2 linked regions of the Lytechinus pictus genome follow. The protein of the gene in region 1 purifies or fractionates together with the protein of each later gene. This does not show direct contact. Links are inferred from orthologs where the notes say so. Each region holds a gene or a part of one and is shown in the gene's direction. Other genes may lie near its edges.

Region 1 (12,645 bases):
AGGTATCCCTCATGGTACTCTTCAGTTTATCAATCTCAGTTTCTGTCCTTAGTCGGATTGACTCTAGCTCTTCTCTTAGTCGAGTCTCATACTCCACCTTACACTGATCCCTGCGAATAAAAAGTTTACAGACTTAAATCACCTTGAATAAGCCTTTTTTAAGTACTTCGTTTCAATTCGTGCAAAGTACAAATGATTAATTACATTTCAAATTTACAAGAATTGTTATTATTATGGAATGGAATATTACCAAGTGTTTCATAAAAGCCGCTTGGAAGTTACGGCGGACTTTATGCAGGACACTAGTGACCCTTTCTCATGCTATATGATCCTTGTGCAGCTGACTTAGTACATAAGAACATGTTCCAGTTGTGCAAAACCTTTTTTTCAGTTTTTCAATTCAGTTCAGTTTATTTCATTTCCATTTTCAAACAATAAACATAACAACAAACACATAGATACATAATATACAAAAGTGATCAGTAAAAGTTGTAGTTTTGTAAACACATTTTGATAATTAAATAATTGAGAATTACAGGTCATAGTTAACGTATCAAAATGAAAATGAGGGACTTATTAAAAAGCAAAGCTTCTATTGGTAAGCCCCTCTGGAAATAAGTTGTGATTATTTATGGAAAGCCCACCAAGATTCAATGTACTTTTCATATAAAAATATGTAAGGGTCCTTTTTTTCAAGTAGTATTTCAATTTGTGTAAATTATCAAATTTTTAAATTTACTAGAATTTATATTTTCAAGAATGGAATGCAACTTGCCTGGATTCAATGTACTTTCTATATAATATGTACGGGTCCTTTCAAGTAGTATATTTCGATTTAGGCAAATGATGGATAACATTTCAAATTTCCATGAATTTTTTTTCTAGAATGGAATGCACCTTTAATCATCTTGATCCAATGCACTTTTCATCAAGTGTGAATGGATCCTTTTCAAGTACTACATTTCATTTCAAGTAAATGATTTCAATTTTAAGAAATTTACAAGGGTTGTTATTTCTAGAATAGAATTCAACTGACCTGGATTCAATGTACTTTTCGTAAAGCTCTTCTCTGGATCGCTTGGCATGGTCCACGTCAGCCTGGGCACACAGCAGACGTTCTTCAGCATGGGCAAGTTTGTTGCTGACATCGCTGAACTGCTTTGAAAAGTACCCCTTGTCTTGGTCAAGGAGAAGCAACTCTTGTTTCTTATCGGCGAGCTATGGGATGGGGGGGGGGGTGAAGTACAAAGGTGATGAACTAATTATTGTGACAATCAATAAAAAGAAAAGCTTTTGAATATACACAACTATGATTATATTCTTAACATTGTGAGATCACAGGCACCTAGATAATGTGCAATGTAATCTATACGGAAGTATAGTCAATTTTTCTGAAATAATAAGATTTTATTTGAATTAATTAGTTAATTTATGTATAAATCATACTTTGTGTTAAAATTCACTAAATAAAGCTCCTACATGTAGAATGTTAATTTTAGGTGAATTTTTTTTGGCAGCATTCCTCACAATGGTGTTTCAAAAATTTGTTTGATATTCAATTTCTTATGTGTTTTAATGTTTATGAATTTCCCATGTGTTTTTTTTTTTTTTTTTTTTTATTCATGAAATTTTGCATAAACTTTTTTGCAGAATAATTACATGTACCGTAAGTAACGGACTATAAACCGCACCCGTGGATTAACCGCACCCCCAACTTTGGACTAAAAACAAAAAAAAAAAAAATCCTTCTCACATTTACATGTGCATATTTGAGGTACGAAGAAACAAAAACTAAGTTAAAGATTTCAAAGTATCCAAAGAAATTAATACCGGTATGCGGAAATCTGCTGTTCTTGATCAATTCGTCTACAGATGTTAGCAAGAAAGAAAGGTCCCGACAATATTGGCCACTTACACACTCACTCACCTCACAGTCACAGTGTACACACACACACACAGCGCTGCCGTTCTTGTACATTGCAAACTACGATACGGTACCAGTAAATCTTATCAAATAATGATCTGTGTCTCTCCTGGCGTAGGAGGAAGAAACATTCACATTTCTTGCATCACAAACTCACAATCACTTTCAGAATTTGTCTAGCATTCGATGTCTTAGCATGAATTTTGGATACGGGATTACAGAAAGGTTCAAGAAACAAAGAAATTGGCATTTTTACAGTTGTTTTTACGGCTTCGTGCCGTCTCTCTCGTGCGTGGTGTACATGGTATCTTATGAAAAGCAAACGGGAAAGAAAAAATAAGCTGGCGTGAAACGGGACTTTGGAGGGCCTAGGGGAGGGGTTAAAATGAATAGCGCCAGCTTAAGTCGCACCATAACCACAATACAATGCAAGCTAGCTCAGCTCACTTAGCTCTCGCTCAGCTGTGACAAAATATTACCGAGTATGCTTGGCGTCTCTTTGAACTTAGCCAGGGAACTACGCTGCTTTGAATCGAGAATAAAGTCGAAATTAGTGTCATGAAGGTGGGTGCGTTTGTTATGGACAATATTTGATAAGATCGTAATAATCGCTTCTCATTACCCGCGGCTCATACCCCTCTAAACGACATTGCCCTGGGCGGCTACGCCCGGCCACTCGATGTGTTGTGAACTGGCAGACGTCTTACATGTTCGGGAGGGGTTACGACAGGCTGGCTCAGACCCGTCACCGTGGATAAACCGCACCCCCGACTTTTGCTTCTATCCCGCCGAGAAAAAGGTGCGGTTAATAGACCGTTACTTACGGTATGCTAAAATCAATTAGTTTCAGCTGATGAAAGTGGCATGGTAAAAAAAAACATGCAGCGGAATGGTCATTGAAAATGTTGAGGGGGGGTTAACTCTATGAAACACCCCAGATTATCATGTACCTCTTTGACAAGTTGATCCCTTTCTTCGGCCACTGCTTTGAAGGTGACATTGAGATACGTATGTTGCTTCTCCAGATCATCAAGCTGCTGTTCATAATTATCCCTCTCACTGCAAAACAAATCCACAAAACTACAACTTGCATTTGATTGATGTTACTAAATTTGTACTTCTTTTCATGTTTAAAGGTTGTTAGTAGATTTGTCCAGGATTAGAAATTAAAATCAAGCATTCAGCTGATAATTAAATCATAATTACAATCATTTGGGCCAAACAGGAATGACCAGTGACTTACATGTATAAGCAAAGTGGTTAATTATTCATCAACATAATCATGCCATGATAGTGCTACTACCACACTCTTAAGCACTGGTGTAAATCCGAGTAGTGAACGTATTGTTCAAGGGGGGGTCTATTGTGTCATCCCCCCCACTTGAATTTAAGTCACAGATTTATGCCAGTGCTCCTAAGAATCATTCCTGAAGGTGTGGCCTCCAAGTTTTTCATGCCACTGCACTGACATAAGTTGCTAAATTTCAATTTTAATATGACATAAAAAAAAAGTCTTCTGTGAACTCTGAAGAGTCAAGATTGCTTTTAATTTGTGCACATTCATGCATTTTCATATTACGCAGAAGTCAACAAGTGTAGAAACACTTCTACCAGTCTGCTCAAAGCCATTTTGTTCAGCTTCAGCAGAACTTACAGGTACAAAATACATGCAATTTTTCAATTTTGAAACTGACCTCTTGACTCTATCGTAGTTCTCTTGCTTGTAGTCATTCTGATTGTGTGTTGACTTCAAATTGGCAAGGTCAAGGGTCAACCTCTGACATTTTCCTTCAGCGTCACTTTTCAGCCGTTGCTCCTTCTCCAGTGCCTAAGAATATTGTGACATGAAACAATCTATAATATATTTCCATTTTCAAATCAATACAAAATATCTAGCCAATATTAATAAAAGGATAATTTTTCAATTACTGAATTCAAATCAATGAATGTCATGCTTCAAATGATCAAGATAGTGTTGCCATCAATATTAATTAAGAAAACATAAAATTAAGAAAACTATAGAATAAATCAATGAAATACTAGATAACATGAGTGTTGTCATCTAAATATGGCCGCTTTGTAAAAACAGCCCTGTGATTGTACTTGCCTCATGTAATCTAAACTGTTCCTCTCTGCTCCTCTTTAGCTCTGTTTCTAATGTGTCCTTCCAGCCTTCAAGATCAGTCAGCTTCAACTGCAGTGGATGTTTCTCTTCATAGAATTTCACCTGAAAGAGCCCAATTCAGATGTATCAAAGCATGTCACAATATATACATAACTTGCTATAAACTTCAATCGATGATGAAATTGAAAATCCAATAAAATAGCAGAGAGGGTGAGAAATTCATACAACTTACTAAAATGAGCGAGAAATTGAGTGTGAAACAGTGAATCTACCATTTGAAGCATGATGCAGGGCTGAGCTTAATCCATGTCAAGAGCATAGTACTATAGGCTTGATAAAGCATTATAAGGGTTAACGGATTGAGCTGCAAGCCTTCATAGCATACTTACAAAGTCTCACCATACCTTCCATTAAGTTTTGGTCTGCTATTTAAAACTATGGTAATGATGGCTAATATCGGTTTTTTTTTGTATGAGTTTCTAGCTTATAATTCATGTTTTACATTGTTTTCAAACCCTGGAAAATGCAAGTTGTAAACCCTATTTAACCCTGAAAATTCATTAAAAGATAGATTGTATTATTCAGAAAATTTATAGATTTAAACAAAAACTGATTGATCATTCTCTTCTATGCTCTTTACTCTAAAATTCCCATTGCGACTATTATTGGTTGTTTTTTTATAGAGTGCCATCATGAATATTATGTTGCTTGATCAGACAAAAGCGTCAAAATATATATACACATGTAATTTCTTTACTTGTATATTATTTGAATATCAAAATCATTATTCTAGGTTGAGAATTCAAAAAAGTGGAACAAGTGATATCATATTTCTGATTGGTGATGAGCTTTTCTAACAAACTTAAATTGAACATGGCAATACACATTCACAGGCTTACTTACCGCTATGACATCCCTTAAAGTGAGTTCTTCCTCTCTTGCTCTCTTCAATGAACTGTACTGCTCATCCGACAGATCTAAGTTATGCAATGCCCTCCGGACATCACCAGCTCGTCGTTGTAACTCTGCATTTGTGGCCTCCAGATGGCGCTGTTTTTCTGTGATTGTGTGCAAGTCAGCTTGGAGTTTCTGCTGTAAATGGCGGGCCTCTTCTTTGTTTACATTCAGTTGTGCTTCAAGTCTGGCCTGTCATGGGAAGAAGATATTACCAAAGTGTTTATAACTGGTCAAACAAAATAACTGATTTATTTCTAAAATGGACATCTTTGATGTACCGTAACACTTATCCTTTGGTGAATCAGACACAGTGTCAGGTATTAATTTATATTTCTGGATCTGGATGTATACAATGCAGGGCCCTCCGGGCTTTTTATGCTGTTTGTCAATGTCTTCCCCATCACATGTACCTTGCAATTTCAGTAAGTGAACAATAATCAATTATCAACTTAAAAAAAACCTGGTCCACTGTTTAATTCTATTGAATAGAATAAGGAGCGAAGATACATGTACGTGTACTCGTACGCCTAGTCCTTTCAGAATAAGACTACATGTATGTTGAATTTATGTAGCATAAATCACAGTACTGGTACTCTGTAACCTACAATGTCAAACATACACAGCCAAGAAGAAGAAAAAGACAAAGGAAAAGAAGAGGAGGGGGAGGAGGGAGGAGAAGAGGAGATTGAGGGGGGAAGAGGAGGAGGAGGAAGAGAAGGAGAAATGAGAATAGGGGAGGAAAAAGAAAAAGGGGAGAAACCTAAATACAAAGATGAAAAAGAGGAAAAGGGAAAAGTAGTATTTTGTATAGATCTTCAAAGACTTTCTAGATCTATACTTTTATCCAAACCTACCTCGAGCGAGGTTTGTGCAGGCTCCACTCCACTTCACTACCGCTACACTACGCTCCACCTACCTGAACTTTGAGGTACAAAACTCGCTCAGATATTCCGAGTGACAAAGGTGGGATTTTATGGGGGGAAAATATAAAATTCATGCAACATCACGATCTTTAAAAACAATCAAAACTAATATTCTTACTGTACACAAAGTTTCACTTCTTTTCCATGCTTCTATCAGTCTCAAAATTGGTGATTTAGAGCCAACATGAAGTTCCTCACACGTATCGCTGCCGATTTCAAAACATCGCATGCGCGAGGGTCCGAGCTCGGACCGGACCCAGTATCTCGCGCATATCGCATCCGATGTTTTGAAATCGGCAGCGAATTATTTATACGTGTGAGGAACTTCATGTTGGCTCTAAATCACCAATTTTGAGACTGATAGAAGCATGGAAAAAAAGTGAAACTTTGTGTAAAGTAAGAATATTAGTTTTAATTGTTTTTAAAGATCGTGATGTTGCATGAATTTTATATTTTCCCCCCATAAAATCCCACCTTTGTCACTCGGAATTATCAGATAGAGTTCATGGTCTCGAAGTTTGGGTAGGTGGAAAGTAGTGTAGCGGTAGTGAAGTGGAGTGGAGCCTGCACGAACTTCGCTCGAGGTAATCCAAACCATGCAGAACACTGACAATTGTCAACAAATTATCGAGATTAATAAGAAAATGAAGATTTACAAATTTGTGACCATGTCATGATCATCATCACAAAATTGCATTCCCAGGCATGACATCATCAAGTTCAGCTCACCATCATCATTCATCCGTCAAGTATATAAAATCAGGAAAGAAATAATCAGACAAACTTAGACTCTAAAATTGTCATCAATCATCATTTTCATTCTTCATCATGCTCATTTTCAATGAATAAAGTATCTGCATGATCACTCAGCTCAGCACAGCACTTCAGCAGCAGGATCAACTGGCGTTTGATAAGTCTAACGTTATTGATCAATATTTTTATTATAATATTACCGGTAACGTTAAATTTGAAAAAAAATATTAAAAAATATTTTTTTAAATCACCTGCAAAATCTGCTTGGTGTGAGAGGCATCGCCTAATTTTTCTTCAAGTTCTTCAACTCTCGCTAATTGTTCAGCTTTCAAATTCTCGATAATCAAATTCTTCTGGGACAATTCAATTTTCACCAGTTGCAAGTCGTGTAGCAACTGCTTCCTTTCGATCAGCTGACGGGTGATCTTCCCGGGTTGTCTCCGTTCAGAATGCCTCGATTTCCGCTGACGATTCTCGTCAGTTTCATCTCCCGCAGAAAATGAAATATCCGTCGCTAAAGATGTGCTTATTTCTCCAGTGACGTCGGTATCCAGCTCACTTATTAGGCTTGAAATATCTTTATGAGCCATTCTATCCTCAGGCTCAGCTTGTGTCTCAAAGGAATATAAACTTAATTATGTTTATGAATGTTTACATTTTCAAAATGACATTCTTTCGAAACAGCCGCTGCTAAAGTTGATATATGAGAATGCACTCCTGCAATAAAATACTAAACAACAAAGAGTAGAACGAAGCTTTCGCACATTTTTATGAGAAACGAGCACAGTCTTCTCTCCGAAATCCTTAATGGGTCAAAGGTTAAGGAGTGCTATATTTGGGTCATTGACATTACATTTGCTACTGTGTGTGAAGTCAGGAGAGAAAGACGAAATGGCTACAAGGATAATATATATAATTCTGCTTAAATGTGTTGTTTTATTTTCTTGTGTGTACTGTGTACACGGATATATGAACCTATTCATCAGTCCAGCTGAAGTTAAAAGATTAGTTGGTGAGTATTCGGAGACGCAAAAAGTCGCGAAGTGAAAGAGATGAGAAGATGATTGCCTCAGCTTCAGCATTCGGAGCCTGTGCAGTGTTGACTGTGTGTGTGTGTGGGGGATGATATGTGATGAGTGACTGAGGCTGTGCGTGTGCGGGCAAATGCAGTGGGGCAGTGCAATAATGGTATTGTTTTGATTCAATCATGTCAGTTTTGTTCATTATTTATTTAGAAGTGTAGCTTAGAGCCTCAGTAGTAGAGCCTAGTAGAAACCACTCAAGGGTTCATTTATGATGGGGGGAACTAAAGCTACGCACTTTGTTTACAAAACTTAATAAAAACTATGCCAATTTTAATATTTGAACAAATTATTTTTCACTGATTTGTGCCTTTTGTGGCAAACATTCTAAAGATCATTAAGCAAGAAAAAATATCACAAAACTCACTAATACGAAAATCCTGCCGTGTTTTCCGAACACTTCTTGAATTCGTTGCCCGATGTTAAAAGGGGTCCTAAATAAAGCTACGCACTCGATTTATCATGCAGAAAAATAGTATTTCCTGTGCCTCAATTTCTAAAATATGTTCATATTATATTATAGTTTAGTTTACTCCAACGATGTTGTAGGACTAAGCCTGTTCATTGATCAAAGTAGAATGTCTATTGCTGCTCTCCTTGGCTTTAGACAAAATTAGGTGTGCTACTTATGTTGGCAGGGAGGGGTGGCAGGGGTATTGTAGACAGCAAAAAAATTCCATATTATTATAGGATAATGTGAAATTGTAGCAAATATAACTCAAAATTCCAAACAGTTGTGGGTTTTCTCTGCATTTAGGGATTTACTGCAGCCTCTGTGGAAAAAATGAATAGGAATCGTTGTCACAATTCCTCCCACAAAGTGCGCATTTGCCACTAAAAACTGCATGCGCGACGAGTGGTGCTTAGCTTCAGGACCCGCGCAGTTTTACGACCCCCTACCATACATGCCGTGCACGGGAAAATCAAGGCACGACGCATGCAACTCTCTCGAGCTCTGTGAGCTGATTCTTCACTTCTTTGGAGTTTGGAATTGGAGATTCCTTCAACTCAGGGAGCTCCAGCACGCAAAGCGGGCTGGAGCCCAGGAGTCGTCCGTATAATACTAGGCAGACATGGGTACTCTTCAAAATGGGTTAGAATGGGGTCGCAATAGCACTCGAAATAAAAGGGGAAAAAATAAATTATGCACATACCTCGATTATATGGATCGTGACACAGAATCCTGACATCGAGGCACAAACTGGACACTCAAAAAAAGAAAAAGTTAGACCTCCATGTCGCGTTCGTTCTCGGTATCGATCGGCCATTTTGTTTTCAATTTTGAAAGAAGGAGAACGAACGTGACAGAACTTTTTACTTTTTTGAGGGTCCAGTTTTGTGCCTCGGATGTCAGGATTCTGTGTCATGATAGACCTTCATCCCTATAATCGAGGTAAGTGCATAATTTATTTTTTCACTGTTATTTGGGGTGCTACATGTATTGCGACCCCATTCTACCCCATTTTTGGATAGTATCCTCTGCCTAATATTACACGGACGAGTCCTGGGGTCCGGCCCGCGGGCCGGAGCTCCCTGGGTTAGAGATTCCTGAGACTGAGAGTCCAGATTAACACTTCCATGCGATTGCACGGAATAGATAATTTAAAATGTAAAATCTAATAATATTGTTCCATTTCACTTACATGTACATGTACCGATCGACATGAAGTCATTCGGTGACTTATTTTAGCACTCTGTCATGTCTGTTCCTCATCTTTTCTTGCTCTTGACATCGCTGCCTGTTGATGCCATTCAAATAATTGTTCAAATTGAATGATGGTGGTCCCCAAGTCTGCACACCTAATTATATGAGTTAAGATTTAACATGAATTTATTCTTACTTAAAATCTTTCAGTTAATAATGTTCCTTATATTATTATGAGTAAGTGTACCAAATATCTATTTGAAAGAAATTTAGGATTTTCTTGGAAAAAAACCTCGGGCAGTCATTTTCATATTAAAAAAAGATGGTACCCCATGTCTGCGCACCCATTCACTTTGCACGTGATTAGGGTATTTTGATAAGAAAGTCTGCATTTTGAGGTCTTCACATGAAATGCCTAAAATCATTTATACTTTTCCACCATTTTGAGTCAGATTTTTTAATGAATATCTGTCTATGTATTGCATGTGTAAAGACTGTGTTTGTTGTGTACAGTATATTCTTTTACTAGAATCCTGCAGATACGCGTGTGCGCAGACAAGGGGGACTGCGCAGACTTGGGGTAACTTGCCAAATATTTAGCAAATTTGAAAAATGATTCACCCTAGAAATAAGGGAAAAAAGAAACATTAAAAAAAAAACTTTTTCAAAATATTGCGTTACTTTCACATTTTGCATCCTACGTTATATAATCTATTGATGAAATAGCTGTCTGGGCAAGACTTCCATATGTCCCCTCCACTAAAATTGAAAAAAAAAATTTGGAGAAAGTTTATCAAGAATTATATAACAAATACGGTATCTAAGAGATTTAAGAAGGAAAAGTTGGATACATACCAAAATATGGCTTTATTCCTTCAAAAATTTGAGTGTGTGTAATTCCCAATGGCATCGGTTTATTTAGTCAAAAAATAAATACCCAATACTCTTGGAGAGTAGACTAGTCTTAATATCGGTTGATAACCGTTATGAAACCCCTAGCTTTCAACAATTCCTGCTAGCTCAGTGAGTAAGGTGACAGACTGGAGTTGCCTTGTTCTGCTGTGAGAGGTTCGAATCCAAGTCCCAATCGGAAGTAAGAAGAAAAAAAAAAAGAGAACAAAAGAAGGGGGTTTTGGAGAAGTATTTTTTTTAATTAGTGGAGGGGACATAAGGAAGTCTTTCCGCCGTCTGTTCGTAGAATTCGAAAATGCCAAGAAATTCAGGAATATTCCTTTCTTTCTTGATTCTGAAAGATTCATTTGATGTCACAGTCACATTTAATCTACTAACATCAAGTGCTACATGTGTGACTTCACTTACATGTCTGAAATGTCATTTTCAGGCAAATCAACTTTTGATACTACAATATCTGTCATTTTTCCTTTGTAGACTCGTAGAAGATATGTATCTTTGTTCACAATGAGTTCATCTTTGAGATGATACAGTATTATTTCAAGTTGAGAAATGGAGCCCCAAAGCATAAATGAGTTCAAAATAATTTGTTCTTGGAAGCATTTATGTACCTAAGAATGGCAGATTTTAGTGACTTTGCCAGAAATGGCATATTATGTTCATGTACATGTCCACATGTAGACATTGATGTTTGTAGTCAAACATAAAATAGCAGTCCTAGAAATCAATTTTTAGAATCAAGAAAGAATGGGGATATTCCTCATTGTCTTGGTACTGTAGTTTCCAAATAAATTGAAATGATTTAAGGAAAATATAGATAATAGATGGGCATTCCATGGATGTAAAATCTTAGCAACTTTTGGGGAAGGTTATTTTTTTAGCCCCCCCCCCCCCCCCGAGCTCACTGGGTGGGCTGTCATCATGTACCATATCCCCCCCCAAAAAAAAAAAAGGAATATGCTAAATTCTTCTTGATTTTCCTTGACTTGATTCAAATTCAAAGCCAAGACAAACATTTTCTGTGTGTAATTGTAGTATCCTATTAAAAGTCGAAGCCTCTTTTTGTAATACATGTAGGTCATCTCTCGCTACTGAGAGACCGTAGTCCTTTTATGATTTGAGTTACCTGTGCATTTCATGTTTTATGTTGTTACATGTACCTGCAGGTGTTTCAGCAGAGCTGTATTATATCCGAGAAGGGAAGATCAACCGTGCAGCCACAAACTATCCTTTAGCAGTCCCAACAGGAATAAATAAACTATATTACACATGGTATAGTGAGAGGCAGGTGAGTTGTTTTTCATTTTTTTCCTAAGGGGGAGGGGGTGACCTTTTATTGCATTTCATATCAAGTTATCATGATAATCAATCAGTTATTAAGAAAATAATAATTACACAATGCAGTATAACAGTTAAGATCCAGAGAATAAAAGAGCAGGAATGGATAATTCTTGAAATAATTATATGTTTCCTTTTTTCTTCTAACATTTACTTTAAATTTATCACAGGAATAATACTACAGAATGAATGAGAATAGATGAAATTGACATGTTTTGTAAATTGGAGTGACCTAAATGTATGTTTTGATTTTCCCCTTCCAGGTTTATTATTCAATGTCTGTGAAGTCCAAGAATCCAAGGATTTTATATCATCCAAGCTTGAATATCACAAAGGATGGGAAAGTCCCTCTCATTAAAACAGGTGCTTTGCAAGTATATTATGTATCATTATTATTAAACATCATTGCAGGGCTGCCAAATCTTTGTTTTCTCGAACTGTTTTTTTGTAAAAAAAAAATATCCTTTTTTTTCTACCTGTACATGTACACCAATGCTTACAAGCCTTACATACATGCATGTAGGTAATGGCCCTGGGGCCCGTTTCTCAACACCGTCATAAGTCTAACTTCTTGACTAAATCGGAGATAGTGAGCTACTTGTCCGCTAACCGTTTCACGAAGCCCTCTTTACCAAGATCGGGTACAACAACCTCACTACATATTTATGACACCTCCGAACCTGTCTTATCTTCTTTCTTAATGACGTAGTGGCATCACGTGGGTAGATTATGACATGCGAAAGTGCCTAGAAATTTTAAAATTATAATCTTACGTAATCAATCATAGAGGTTGAAATTACATCACAAAACAAGTGGGTTAATGCATTCAATGATAATTGTAATACAAAGAAAAGTTCTATAAAAACTGTTGGTACACGCCACAAAACCATTAATTTTGAAATAGTAAAATGATTTAATCGATAAAGATTCTACCACGTCAGGCCATCCATAACTGAACTCATATTTGTTGTTTTCAGACCCCTATT
Region 2 (12,716 bases), on another chromosome or scaffold:
ACTAAACCAGATTTTAGATGTTGAAGTTATTGACCTACCTATAAAGCTATATATTCATTCATTCATCATTTTCTTTCTTTCTGTACTTATTATTCCATTCATTTGTTATTTTACTACATGGGCCAATATTATTGATATTTCATATTCTATGACTTATTCCTGAGGATGATTTTAATTCAATGGGATGTACAGCAGTGGTCATTTAGAAAAGGGCACTTTTGTTGTTGAATATAAGATAACTTGAAATAAACCACTGTACAAATGCTAGTTTATGAAATACTTTCAATCCACATGAAACCTTTCATTTCCAGAAAATTTTCGCAATTTATCTGTCATTTTTTTCAGAAATCTATTTTTTTCCATTCATTTATTATTTTACTTAATTTCACAGTATAGCATTTTGCTTTGGTTTGCTATCTTGCATATACTATGTAAAGTAACTAAATTTAATTGCTTTTTGCGATGACCTTGCAATCTTGATAGATTTTAGAGTACCATGCCCTATCATTTTTATGAGGGATACTCATACAAATAATATATTGATATTTTCCTCTTATTTGTACGAAAGAAAATTTGAAAATTAAATCGATTTCACTCAAGGATAGTATTATTTGGCTCAGGCCATGGCCTTAATATTTAATAAGTAATAATCTACATCATGTAGCTAATAATCTACATCATGTAGCTAATAATTTATTTGATTAGTTACATTAATAGCTTGTTTATCTGCACAAGGTCTTTGATTATCATCCTACAGTGTATAAAGATATCAATATTATTTTTATATGAAGAAATAATTATCTTGGTGTTTAATGTGGAGCATAAACTAGAGCATCTGGACATCGTTTTAGTCTCAGTGTCAGAATGGAATTATTACCAGTATCTTTCTAACCTCTCTTCGGCAATATATCACCCGTTCGGAGCTAGATGGTCACTAATGCATAAATTAACGTCATGTTCAGACTTGAAAGTAATATTTAGTTATGTGATATTGGCGATAATGTAGAAGTACATTGACTTTGATATGCATGTGTAAATGTAATGTAACATTTCTCTCAGAGAAAACATTGCTATATTATTGAATTATTGACGAAAGATCATTGCGAGATGGACGGGGCGGGGGTTGTACACAACTGAACATATAATTTATAGGTCAGATTCAAGAACATATTCCTTTCCTTTGTTCAAGGTTTTCTATTCCGGCAAGCAATTACAAATCATGGTTCATAGAGCACATTGTGATCGCTGCTTGCACGGTAGGAAAAAATGATAGAAAAATGGGAAATGAAATAAATCGGCTGGTTGGATGACAATAGACACGGCATGTTCGGCCTTGCTTGAGGAAATGTCAACAGTCAATGAATTTCAATCACTGAAAATGTCACAGACTCTGGTGATCTTCTAGCTCAATCTTTTAACCCGTTCATCCTCTGGCTTAAGGGGTTTGATATTAAAAATCTTGAGGAATGAATTATCCTTTGAATTATCCAGTGGGTCGGAGCATCTGCAATACAATTTTTATGGATTAAAATTTACAGCTAGAAGAAGTTATATAGTAGAAAAGTAATTATATTTGTGAATATTGTTATTGCTTGATTTTTGTCAGCGTGGAGTAAAATAAATCAAAGTGTATTCTATGTATAGAAAGACTGTTAATTCTTTGCACTCTAATATAGCAGCATAGGAAGTGCATGAGGGCAATGGATGGCTTTACTCGAATCGACTCTAAACATCCCTACATGTAAAGTGAAATACTTTGAGGTTACTATCTTTTCTTGACTCTAGAGTTGCCCAATTGAAGAACATTTAGAAAATCAATATTCTAGTATGTGTATGGCTCAACAAAAGGTTCAGCAATGCAACTGTTAAATTTAGTCATATTTGACTATTTTCTAGATCATTTGGCTGAAACACATTCATTTCTTACTGGGAATTTGTATTAAGATATATATCAGTTCCACCCAGCTAGTCCTATAGTGGGGGTTTTTAGTATATATATAATTATATATATGTATATTTTTTTATTATTTTGTGTCTTTTTTGAAGACTCATTATACACTTAAGGCCTCTATGAGGTCTGTATTTAATTGGACAACAAGTGCATGAATTTATTTGCTTCACTAATTGAGTATATGAAGGGCCAACAGTTCAGTCTGTAATTGCCCAGTATTTCATGCAAGGCAGGTACACCTTGCTGTCAATATTAATGACATAGTAAATTGATAGGTTGCGGGATTAATCTTTTTATTGACAGTAGGAAGCGAGTGTTGTGCTGCATATTATTGGGTATATGTAGCATTGCTCATGACCACGACTGTTCAATAGACTTTGTATAACATTGTTTTGTTTATGCTGAAATTAAAGGAGTTAAAAGCAAAAGACGATGAGTGAGAATGTTAGATTCTTGTAATAAGGTATGTGGCCTGTGTCCATGGGGCATGCATACTTTGGGCCAGGGGCGGATCTAGGATTTTCCAAAGGGGGCGGGCACATTTTCCCTAGGAAAATTTAACAAACAAAATAAAAGAAAGAAAAAAAGATTAAAAAATGAAGGTTATTTTGTCCCGCTTCAAATTAAAAAAAAAAAGGCTCCTCACTTCTGTTTGAACGACATATTTCTATTAAGAATATTTCCCATGACTCTCAAAGGGGGGGGGGGCACTGGCTAGATGTGCCCCCCCTGGAGCCACCACTGCTTTGGGTTATGAATTTTTGCCCAAATCATGGGTGTTTGTTATTTCTAAATAGTAAATAAATCTAAATTGATTTCAGTTTGCAATCTCGAGATTACAGTAAGCCCCCCAAAATGTTACGTCTCCAATTCTCCATCGCAGATAAAAAAAAATCTTATTATTTTGATCTAGATTTAATTTTATCTAGGTATAATCAGGGATGCCAATTTCCAGACCAAAGTCTGATTCAGACTTTTTTTAAAACATACATGCATTTTCAGTCACAGAAAACATGTCTTTCACGTATAGGAAAAGGGGGCAATTCTAGATGATTTTTAGACTTTTCTACCAAGCATCCCTGTTAATATCTGAAAACATACGACTGGTGGAGATGTGCGTACTATTGCGCATCACAAGATGACTGGGCCCATCTGTAACTGAAGGTACATGTAGGAGGACTGCAAGGGCAGGAAGACAAATATGCCCCCTAGCCATCTAATCAGAACGGAAAGCTGTTCATAATGAGAAAATCAAATTTGCTCAGTGAATCACACTACGAGCAGAGATCTAGCACTCGAGGAGAATCATATGAGATCATACTCCACAAACGCCTCCTGCATACGGGATCAACTATGGATACAAAGAAATACATAGTTGCGCGGTGGAGGAGTGCTGCTTTGTGAATGATTGGATATATTTATCATAATGATTATGATATTCTTGAAATGTGCTTGTTTTAAAATGAAAGAAAATTGTGTGATAAAACCATTGATTGAATGTGATAGCTTACTCCCCCATTCTGAGCTTCAGTACTTCATATGATTAGCCAAATTTTGTTCACTGCTTACTCATCCATTATTTCTCCCCTTTTCCTCCTTAAAAAAAGTAGATGAGAATCCATATTTTACTCTTCAAAATAGAAATCTGAAATAGAAGTACCGGTACTCTGAAAAATTCATTGTGACCAATTGATCGTAGGCCCGGCAGTCACTGTAGCGTCAGATTGACATTGCTCTATCCCTTAAATTGTTGGAAAGTCAAACAGGGTAGCAGCCACTGGCAGATCCATGGGGGGACACAGCCGGCCCGTGCCCCCCTTTTGAGAGGCACAATTAAAATTTGTAATGTAAAAATGCCGTTAAGACAGAAGTGTGTCCCCTTTTGAAAGTGAAGACCTTTTTTTTTGTCAGATTTCTTCGTGGACGAAATGTCCAAATTTATTTGTTGTAGACTTTTTGGGGGGGCTTGTTAAATTTTTCCTCGGGGGGGGAAATGTGCCCTCCCTTTTGGAAAATCCTGGATCCGCCCCTGGTAGCAGCAACTCTGATCTATTAACACATTTTGGTCTGACCCAACCTATCGCATATGAGACGGAGGCTCTACCAATTGAGCCAACACACCGCAATAAAAACACTTATATTCAAACAAATCAATAAATAATCCTTGTTTTTTCTTGTTTTGATATGTTCAAAATTGTAGGCCTACATCTGGTATATGGGCTATATTTCCCTTATTTTTCTTTTTGAATGAACCATTCTGTTTGCATCTACACATATATCATTCTATGGTTTTACTTGAAGACTGGGATATAATCTATTTTTATTGATTGATCTGAATACAAAATATTTTTTGGATATTGATTCAATTGAAAATTAATTTTCATGGAGACGTAAGATATCAAGATTTGTAGTAGTTTTAGCAGGAGTACCTCAACTGGGTCTTATCCAAAGTGCTCTTCTTTATTTCATCTACTTTTCTTAAATCTAATTGTTTTTTTTCCTCGAGATCTTTTTTATCTTTGATTAAGGAAGATATGATTGAGAAGAAGTCATTTTGGGGCAGAGTAAATAAGAAGCAATTTATGAAATGAATTCTGTCAGCCAGCCGACTCGGTGACAGCCAATCTGTTGCCACTTTGATTTCCTCTAATCAATACTGCAACTCTCAACGGCACGGTGTTATTCTTGCAATTTCATGCGATTGCTCTCATAGAAGGAGGCAGCTGGAACACCAATACCTCTATCCGCATTGACTAGCTTGAGAACTTTAAATATTAATGCAAAAATTCTAAAACTGATTCCACAGTGAATGGTGGTGTGGGTATAAAAGTTTAATACATGATGAAGCCATAAATAAGGACCTGGGGCCCATTTCATAAGAGTTACAACTGCTGTAACTTTCCTATTATCGCAACTACCATGGCAACAGGGCTCAGCAGCCAATCAAAATCAAGGTTACTGTGGTAGTTGCCATAATGGCAAAGTTACAACAGTTGTAACTCTTTATGAAACAGGGCCCTTGTACCAGGATGGGGCAGAAAAAAGTTTTGTCCATTCATTATCATGTACTACCAATGTCAAAAAATGGTAATTCTCCATGTTCAGGGAGGAATAAAACTTTTTTCATAGTTCAACGGGAAGAAAATAGTAATATTTCATATAATAATATACAAAAGAAATGGCGAGTGGGTGCTGTCATCAGTCTCCTCATTTGCATACCGACCAGGATGTGAATATAACTGTTTTGTGAAATTAAGCGAAACTTAAATATGTCATAACTTTGAATTTTACATCTAATTTTGATGAAATTTTCAGGGTTGTGCTCGTTGGACTTTTCTCTTTTTATTCAAATTAACTTTTTGCTGGGGTGGACTTGTCATTTAAGAGGATGAATTGACAGAAAAGAAAATCTGCAATGTTTATTGATGATGGATGTGTTCAGTGACCCCTTGCTACAGATGATCTTCTTTCATATTCCGTGGTACACAGAAAAAGCTGATGATGGAAATTGGCGGACAGAGAGTGAGAGATAGTGAATGAAAGAGAATGGGAGGATAAGGGAGGGAGGTCAGGTAGGAAGAGCAACATCAAGTGAAATATGAAATGCGTTCCATTGTGGTTTAGCTCTGTCATAGAACTGCAGGAATACTCTAAAATAATCCAGCTGTAGTTTATTTTACTATTTTTTTAACATTGAAAATTCAATTCAATTCAATTTATTTTTCATTCTTCAACATAATACAAATAATTACATGATAAATCAGGCCTGACAAAGAGCTAACACAAAGTCACAGAATTTTTTGTTTGTTTGATGTACTGATAAAAATAAAGAATGTACATATCATTGATAGACACTCTGTCCATATAGTATTGATTCAGGTCCCCACTCTGGGGCACTTTCTTTGCAGAAATGGCCCCAGATATCCTTTTTATTAATGTAGAGGAAAGTCTTGAATAATATCGCTAACGAAACATTCACAGCCAAGATTCAAGTTGCTGTTCATAATATTTATTATGGATTCATCTCATTGATTGACTTAGAACAATTATTTCTCAGAATCCCAGAATTTCTTGTTGATTAAAAAAAAAATGAAATGGGTTCCAGGAAGATAGCAATTTTGGGATACACTTTCAGTGTACGACTGTTAACTGTATATAAGCAAAAATAATCATGTTCACACACTTTCTTTGTCTTTATTTCTAAGTGATACTGTGAAATGTAAATCATATGAATAATTTTGTATTGTTCTTTTTTATTGAAAATGAATAAATATAGATTTGAACTTAAACTGAAAGATTTAGGAAGTTTTGTAGGATTTTGACTTGTTCTGTGTTTGTATTATATGATTCATAATAAAGTATACTTTCTCTGCTTAGATTCTCCATGAGTAAACGTTACTCTGCATTATAAAGTGATGATTTTTTTTTTCTGTTTCTGTTTAATTTACATTTTTAAATTGTATCGAAATTTTAAAAATGATGAAAAGACTGGTAACATCAGGAGTGAGGCCTCCTAAAAAATGTTTAGAATTCTAGATTAATCAGTCGATCAATCAATCAGGCAATATAGGATTCAACTTTGACAAATTATGCTTTATATAAGTAATAAATTTGAATGAAATTGTAATATTGTAATTCATTATGCCAGTGCAAAAAAAGATGAAAAGGTGCATTTTAATTTGAAGGAGAAGTCCATCACCCACTGGAAGAAAAAAAAATGTACACTGTAAGTTTGTAACTTTATTATGAAACTCAACTTAGCTTTTGTTTTAACTGAAATATTTTCTTGTGTAATCTTGCAGGGACCTATCGTACAATAGGCTTGGTAGTGTGAATAACTCCATGTTCATTGGATTATCATCACTGGAAGAACTGTAAGTAATTTCAACCCCCTTCAGACCCTTAGCTTTAATTTATATGCAGAATAGTATTATAGTATCCCATTTACAGGCCTTCTTCAACTTTCCTGTTGACTGATTAGAAAAAAAAGATTGACCAGAAGATTGATCAGAATTGTTTCTACAAATATAAAGCTGTTGATTGCAATATTTTTTGTTTTAGGTCATCTGCTGGTTTTATGAAGTGGTGACTAACATGATGAATGTATCATAAACTGTTTGATTATATACATGTATAGGATAATAAATTACAATTACCAGCTCTATAGGTCTTGAAATGGACAGCACATTGTTTCATTAAACTTGTTTATCAATCTTCATTTAATGTGAGCTTTGAAATTTTAACTTTTGAAGTCATGCTTATAGCTACTGATATGATCCAATTTGATTTGCCAATTATCATTTGTCTCACATTGTAAATCATACGTTTATCAAATGCGATTTCATTTATTTTCATGTTTTCTTTTTCAGTATTTTCTCCCACAATCAGATATCAACCATTTCACAAGCGACCTTTGACCGCCTCACCATGCTCAGGAGACTGTAAGTTGTTCTTTTTTTTTGGGGGGGGAGGGGAATGAGTACATTTTCTTAAAATCTGAAATTCATTGTGCCGTAATGAATAAAAGCAAAATCTTATGTACAATGTGCTGAGTAGTGACCACAATTTCAGAAACGTTTGATTACCTCTTTGGACATGCTGGATTCAATGCAATGATAATTGAATACATTATAAAACAAGGTAAAATTCTACTGCAGGAATATTTCCAGTATAAATAATGTTTTAAATATTTCACCACTCATCACACCTTTGAAATGCTCATTTGCTATTTGAAATTAGAGAATATTTGGATGATAATTCATACACCAAATAACTAAGTTTTGTATGTAGCAGATATTATGGACATTGCTATGTAGAAGTTTTGATCAAAGATTATACAAGAAGACAAATAAACATGTTTGTTGTTTGCTGATGTTTCAATTCATTGCCCTTCCTCTTTGTCCAGTTACAAAGCCTTCTTTGTTGTATTGAGAGAATTATATCCTATCACTAAAAATTGCACCTCATTGTGACTCCAAAGTTGACATCTCAAGGGACATTTATAAAAAAAACACCATATCAAATGGAAATGATTATTTACCCTGAATTCGATCTATTCATCTATTGAAGATTACTGTAGCAAAATAAAAGCTTTGCATCTTCTTTGCATTGTTGGCTGTTTTTTAAAAGTATTTTCAGCCTTGGCACAAATTCCCTAGTGAACATTTCATCTATTTTCTTGTAAAACTATTACTACATCAATTCACAAGTAGAAATCTCCAGGGCACAAATAAATTAAAACCTTTGATTATCAATCTTAAATTTTGTAGCCATGTAGTGAGGTAACTATTTTTGTATCCACAGTTTCAGATAAATTTGCTCTGTTAAATAAAAACAAATTTGTTGTCTTATATTTCATCATCTTGTCCTTACGATACATAGGAAGTTATCTCTCTAGGTCAAATTGGAATGGGAAATAGAGATTGGCGAGTCCATAAAAAAAGGTTGAATAACCATTTATATCCATCATCAAAGATACCCCTTGTCGATTTAATTCAAACTTGATCTTATTGTCATAGTAATCACATCGTAACATCTCCAAATGCTTCCCTTGGGTTAATTTCTTTCCACTGTTGTTGTGACCTTTATGAGACTAATTGCATCTATAATGTGGGTACTCAAGCTATAAGGGTATGTTTTCTTGCCATTATTTTTGTTAAGGATATCAAGTATTTTGCCATTCAGGATATGGGGAGAGTTGTTCACACAGTGGTATTCTGTACCAGTTGTACAACATCTACTAAAAAGTAAAACTTTTGTGTTATATTAGTTGTGACGTGTTCTTATCAATGACTTGTGAACAAATATTAGATACATTAGTGTGCATACATGTATCTTTCAATGCTTTCTAGTAAATTTTAGTAGAAATTCAAAGTATCAAATGAAAATTCTGATGTTAAAATGAAGACCTCTCACCTTTCATTGCAGTGAGTTTGCATCAGAGTATCTGGTCTGTGACTGTAAGTTGGACTGGATTGTGAAATGGAAACGCACTCGAACCCCAAAGGTCAAAATCTCCGACAGTACGACCTGCGCAGTGCCAGAGTCTCTCGCCGGTCGCCAGGTCAGCAGTTTGAAGAAAGCCCAGCTCAACTGTGGTAAGTGAATTAATGATTAGCCGGATAAAATAAATGAATTGGAAGTAGCAATTTTGTTTATATATTAACCAACTTCAAGATTACTGAAATTCACCAGACTGTTAGTGATTTCTTAGCTAGGTTGAATCTTTGCCTAAATTAAAAGAGCTCATTGAAAATGTTAAGATTGATTAAGGTATTCTTTTGACTTCATGTATTGTTGCCTAAAATATATGGGAAAGCCACACCAAGCATTTGTAAATCAATCGTATCAAGATCAAGATCGTTAGGCTTGATTCATCTACTGTCTCTTCTCTCCCAACCGGTCAGACTTTCCCCTGCAGATGTCCCGCTTTGAGATCCGTCCCAGCAGTGACCAGGTGGTCTTCAAGGGGGATCCCATATCACTGGAATGCATTGCGTCTTACCTGGATGAGACCCAGCAGATGGTGTGGCTAAGGAACAAGCAGGTCCTAGAGAACAATGCCTCGGCTGGGATCAGCATTGAAACCCACACCATGGAAGACCAGGCTCTCATGACAAGCACTCTGACAGTAAGTAATCCTGCATTGGTGAGTTGGGGCTATGAAATTCAGGAAGTTCCTAAGAGAAAAATTGATTTGATTTGGTTTCGTGTTTTGTTAATGCTGGGCGGCCCCTTCAGTGAAAAGAATCAGTTTTTTTTCCAGGAGGCACTGTATAATAGTACAGTAACAATATCAAGACAATACAGATTTTAAAAATACATAACTAGGTATCCTTTTATTAAAATGTTCTACGCCAAGGTATAGACATGGCATGATATTACATGTTTTGAAAGGCAGTAATGAGCAACTCATATCCTTGAGGATGTCAAATAAGTATTATTCCAACGATTTTTAAGGCAGAAGATATTTATATGCTTTTCACATTGCATTTCCTTAACCCCATACCATCCTTAACCCCGGACTATCCTTAACCCCATACTATCCTTAACCCCGGACTATCCTTAACCCCATACTATCTTTTTTTGGATTTACACTGTCTTTCTTAACCCCATACTATCTGCTTAGCCGGGGTTAACGCCTTAACCCTGGACTATCCCACAGCTCATGAATATTGATGATTTTACCATACAGAGCATGATTAACGTGCAATTTCGACTTCTGTGATTGGCTATTGCTTAGCCCCGCTTTTCCTTAGCCCAGTTTCGTTACACACTGCATCTCTAAGCACCGCAATTGTGGTGCTTGCACCACAATAAGCCGGCTAACTCTGCTTTTTTGCAGGGCCAGATAGTACTGTACTATTTACCGTGCTAGCCCACTTTACTAAAACTAGTGTGAAAACGAAGTGGGCTAAGCTTAACCCCAGGAAATTGGTGGGGCTAAGGCCCCCCCTTAGCCCCACCAATTTCCCGGGGTTAAGGAAAAAAAGTACAGTGTGAAAAGCGTATTCGAAGAGAAATAGCAATTCAAATTCAGAATTTTGAAAGTAAATGAATGTTGCTGCACATTATTCAAAATTACTCTGAGTACTTTGTATTAGGATCTTTATGCAACATTGAGACAAAATTTATGCAATTCAATGCAGTCAACTTGTAGCAACTTTAATACTTGACTTCCATAAGCTAAATCATAGACAATTAAAATATGTTGATCTTTGATTGATTAGATTCAACAGATAACCCAAAGCACCGGTCTGTGGAAGATGGAGTGCCAAGTGATGACTGGTAGTGGGCGTGGCAAAAAGAATGTTATGATGGATCTGTATGTGTTTGGCCACATCAATCAGTCTCACAACTGCCAGGAAGAAATCACAACTAATAACAAAGGTAAGAGAGTGAGAGTCAGGACGATGAGGTGGAAGAGAAAAATGATGATGATAATGATGATGATGATGATGGTGATGATGGTGGTGGTGGTGGTGGTGATGATGGTGGTTGTGGTACTAGTGGTGGTGGTTGTGGTACTGGTGGTGGTGTTGATGGTAGTGGATGGTGATGGTGATGATGATCGTGATTAATGAGGATGATGATGACCATGAGGAGAAAGAGGTGAAGATAAAAAAAAAGTATGTTCACAATTGTGAGGAGGAGGAAGAAATTTGTGGTCTTGGTAATAATGTTGATTATGATATTATGTTTATGATAAAAAACTTTTGTGTTGCACTTGCACTTTGATGTCTGAATGTACTTTCAGTTGATTTGATTGTAATATTCAATAGGTAATTACTATGCATCTGATCAACCTATTCGTTGAAGCTCAAGTCATCATGATTTAACAACTAAAGAGTCTTTTGTTTGAAAACCATTTCATAAATATATATCTGATATTACAATCATACTTTTTAGTTTCACTACTCCTTCATGTGCCTCTAATCAGACACCAGTGATAACCAATGCCCTATAGAATCCGATGATTGCAGTTTATTTCTTTTCTATGATAGGTACCTTTCAGTGGCAGGCGACCATCCCTGATATGACGGCAGAGGTGCCCTGCCCGTATGGAGGAGGTCTTCACTTCACTGGTGGTGATCCCTCAAGGGCCAAAGGAAGACGTACCTGCTTAGAAGGGGGCCAGTGGCAGACCCCTCAGACGGATCTCTGCGATTACGCGGATGAGGTCACCCGCATGCTGGAGAAAATGGCAATGGTAGGAGAGAATTTGTCAGAACTAATTTGTTTATGTATAGGAATATGGAACAGTTCATGAATAAGGTACACATAATTCAATGTTTCAAAAAATATTAGACCAAGTTAGGGATTTATTTCATAAGACATTTGAATTATAATTGTAGTTGTTTTATTTGTTTTCAGTTTTATATTGTGGAATTTTTCGTTAACTTAGTCTTATTTGTTTGATTTATTTCATGTAAATTTCATTTTTATGTTTAGTTTGATATGTATAAACAAAAACTATGCAGAACCTCATATGATATATATCTTTGGGATGTAGATGTGATGCTTGTAGGTAGTTCCTTTTGCACCTGACCAGTGGATGAAAAATGGCACAAATGCTGATATTCAACCAAAAATTTTATCACTTTATTATATATATTCCTTAGAGCATTTTTTTTAAGTTGCTGATTTTGTTGCTAAGATTTCATTATGCAGTAAATGGCACAAACAAATGAAAATGTTAGATTGTTATGAATATGAATAATCCTGAGTGTAAGATTAAAAACATCTGTATTTAACCTGATCAATTTGTTTCAAACAAATTGTTGGAAACAGTCATTTATTTTTTTTATCAATCCATACTGAGTAACCCTTATTCTTTCCATCACATCCAACAGTCATCATATAGAAATGCTACAGTGGCACTTAAATCAGCTAGAAGGGTAGAGGTTCTCACGGCAGATGCTCATACTTTCTCTGACAAACTGAACGTGGTCTTTGTGGCCAGATTCATTGAAAAGATTCATCAGTTAACAACAACAGATGTGAGTATTGTTCTTCCAGCATTTCTTATAATGTTTAGAAAATTATTGCCCCCCCCCCCAGAAATTAAGAAATTGATCACTCTTATTCTCAAAACATTTTGTTTAAGTACTGTGATGATACTGGATAAGAAGGATATCACACATTTTATATGTTATGTATTTACTTTTGTTCATATTTTCATATTTTTAAAATGTGGGATGATGGTTTGAAGTATTATTAAGTGCTTGATTGAAAGATAAGAGATATGAGACTCATTTCAACTTCA

Evidence for each region.
Region 2: the proteins of tyrosine-protein kinase RYK-like (region 1) and adhesion G protein-coupled receptor A3-like purify together in Homo sapiens (affinity purification with mass spectrometry; 3 studies listed by BioGRID and IntAct, with this or other methods). This does not show direct contact. The link is inferred for Lytechinus pictus from reciprocal best matches to the Homo sapiens genes RYK and ADGRA3.

The regions. Positions count from the first base shown.
Region 1 is NC_087260.1:21,523,767-21,536,411, forward strand, and holds the start of tyrosine-protein kinase RYK-like, read left to right. Parts: upstream 1-7,502; 5' UTR 7,503-7,573; coding exon 7,574-7,694; exon of another isoform or gene 7,695-7,813; intron 7,814-11,487; coding exon 11,488-11,609; intron 11,610-11,922; coding exon 11,923-12,022; intron 12,023-12,645. Other genes in the region: progesterone-induced-blocking factor 1-like, read right to left, coding at 1-110, 1,037-1,218, 2,875-2,983, 3,619-3,752, 4,032-4,151, 4,953-5,195, 6,934-7,272. UniProt on the Homo sapiens protein: May be a coreceptor along with FZD8 of Wnt proteins, such as WNT1, WNT3, WNT3A and WNT5A. Involved in neuron differentiation, axon guidance, corpus callosum establishment and neurite outgrowth.
Region 2 is NC_087256.1:14,216,964-14,229,679, forward strand, and holds the start of adhesion G protein-coupled receptor A3-like, read left to right. Parts: upstream 1-6,759; 5' UTR 6,760-6,793; coding exon 6,794-6,825; intron 6,826-7,320; coding exon 7,321-7,392; intron 7,393-8,878; coding exon 8,879-9,048; intron 9,049-9,357; coding exon 9,358-9,581; intron 9,582-10,680; coding exon 10,681-10,840; intron 10,841-11,454; coding exon 11,455-11,660; intron 11,661-12,303; coding exon 12,304-12,450; intron 12,451-12,716. UniProt on the Homo sapiens protein: Orphan receptor that may have a role in planar cell polarity pathway.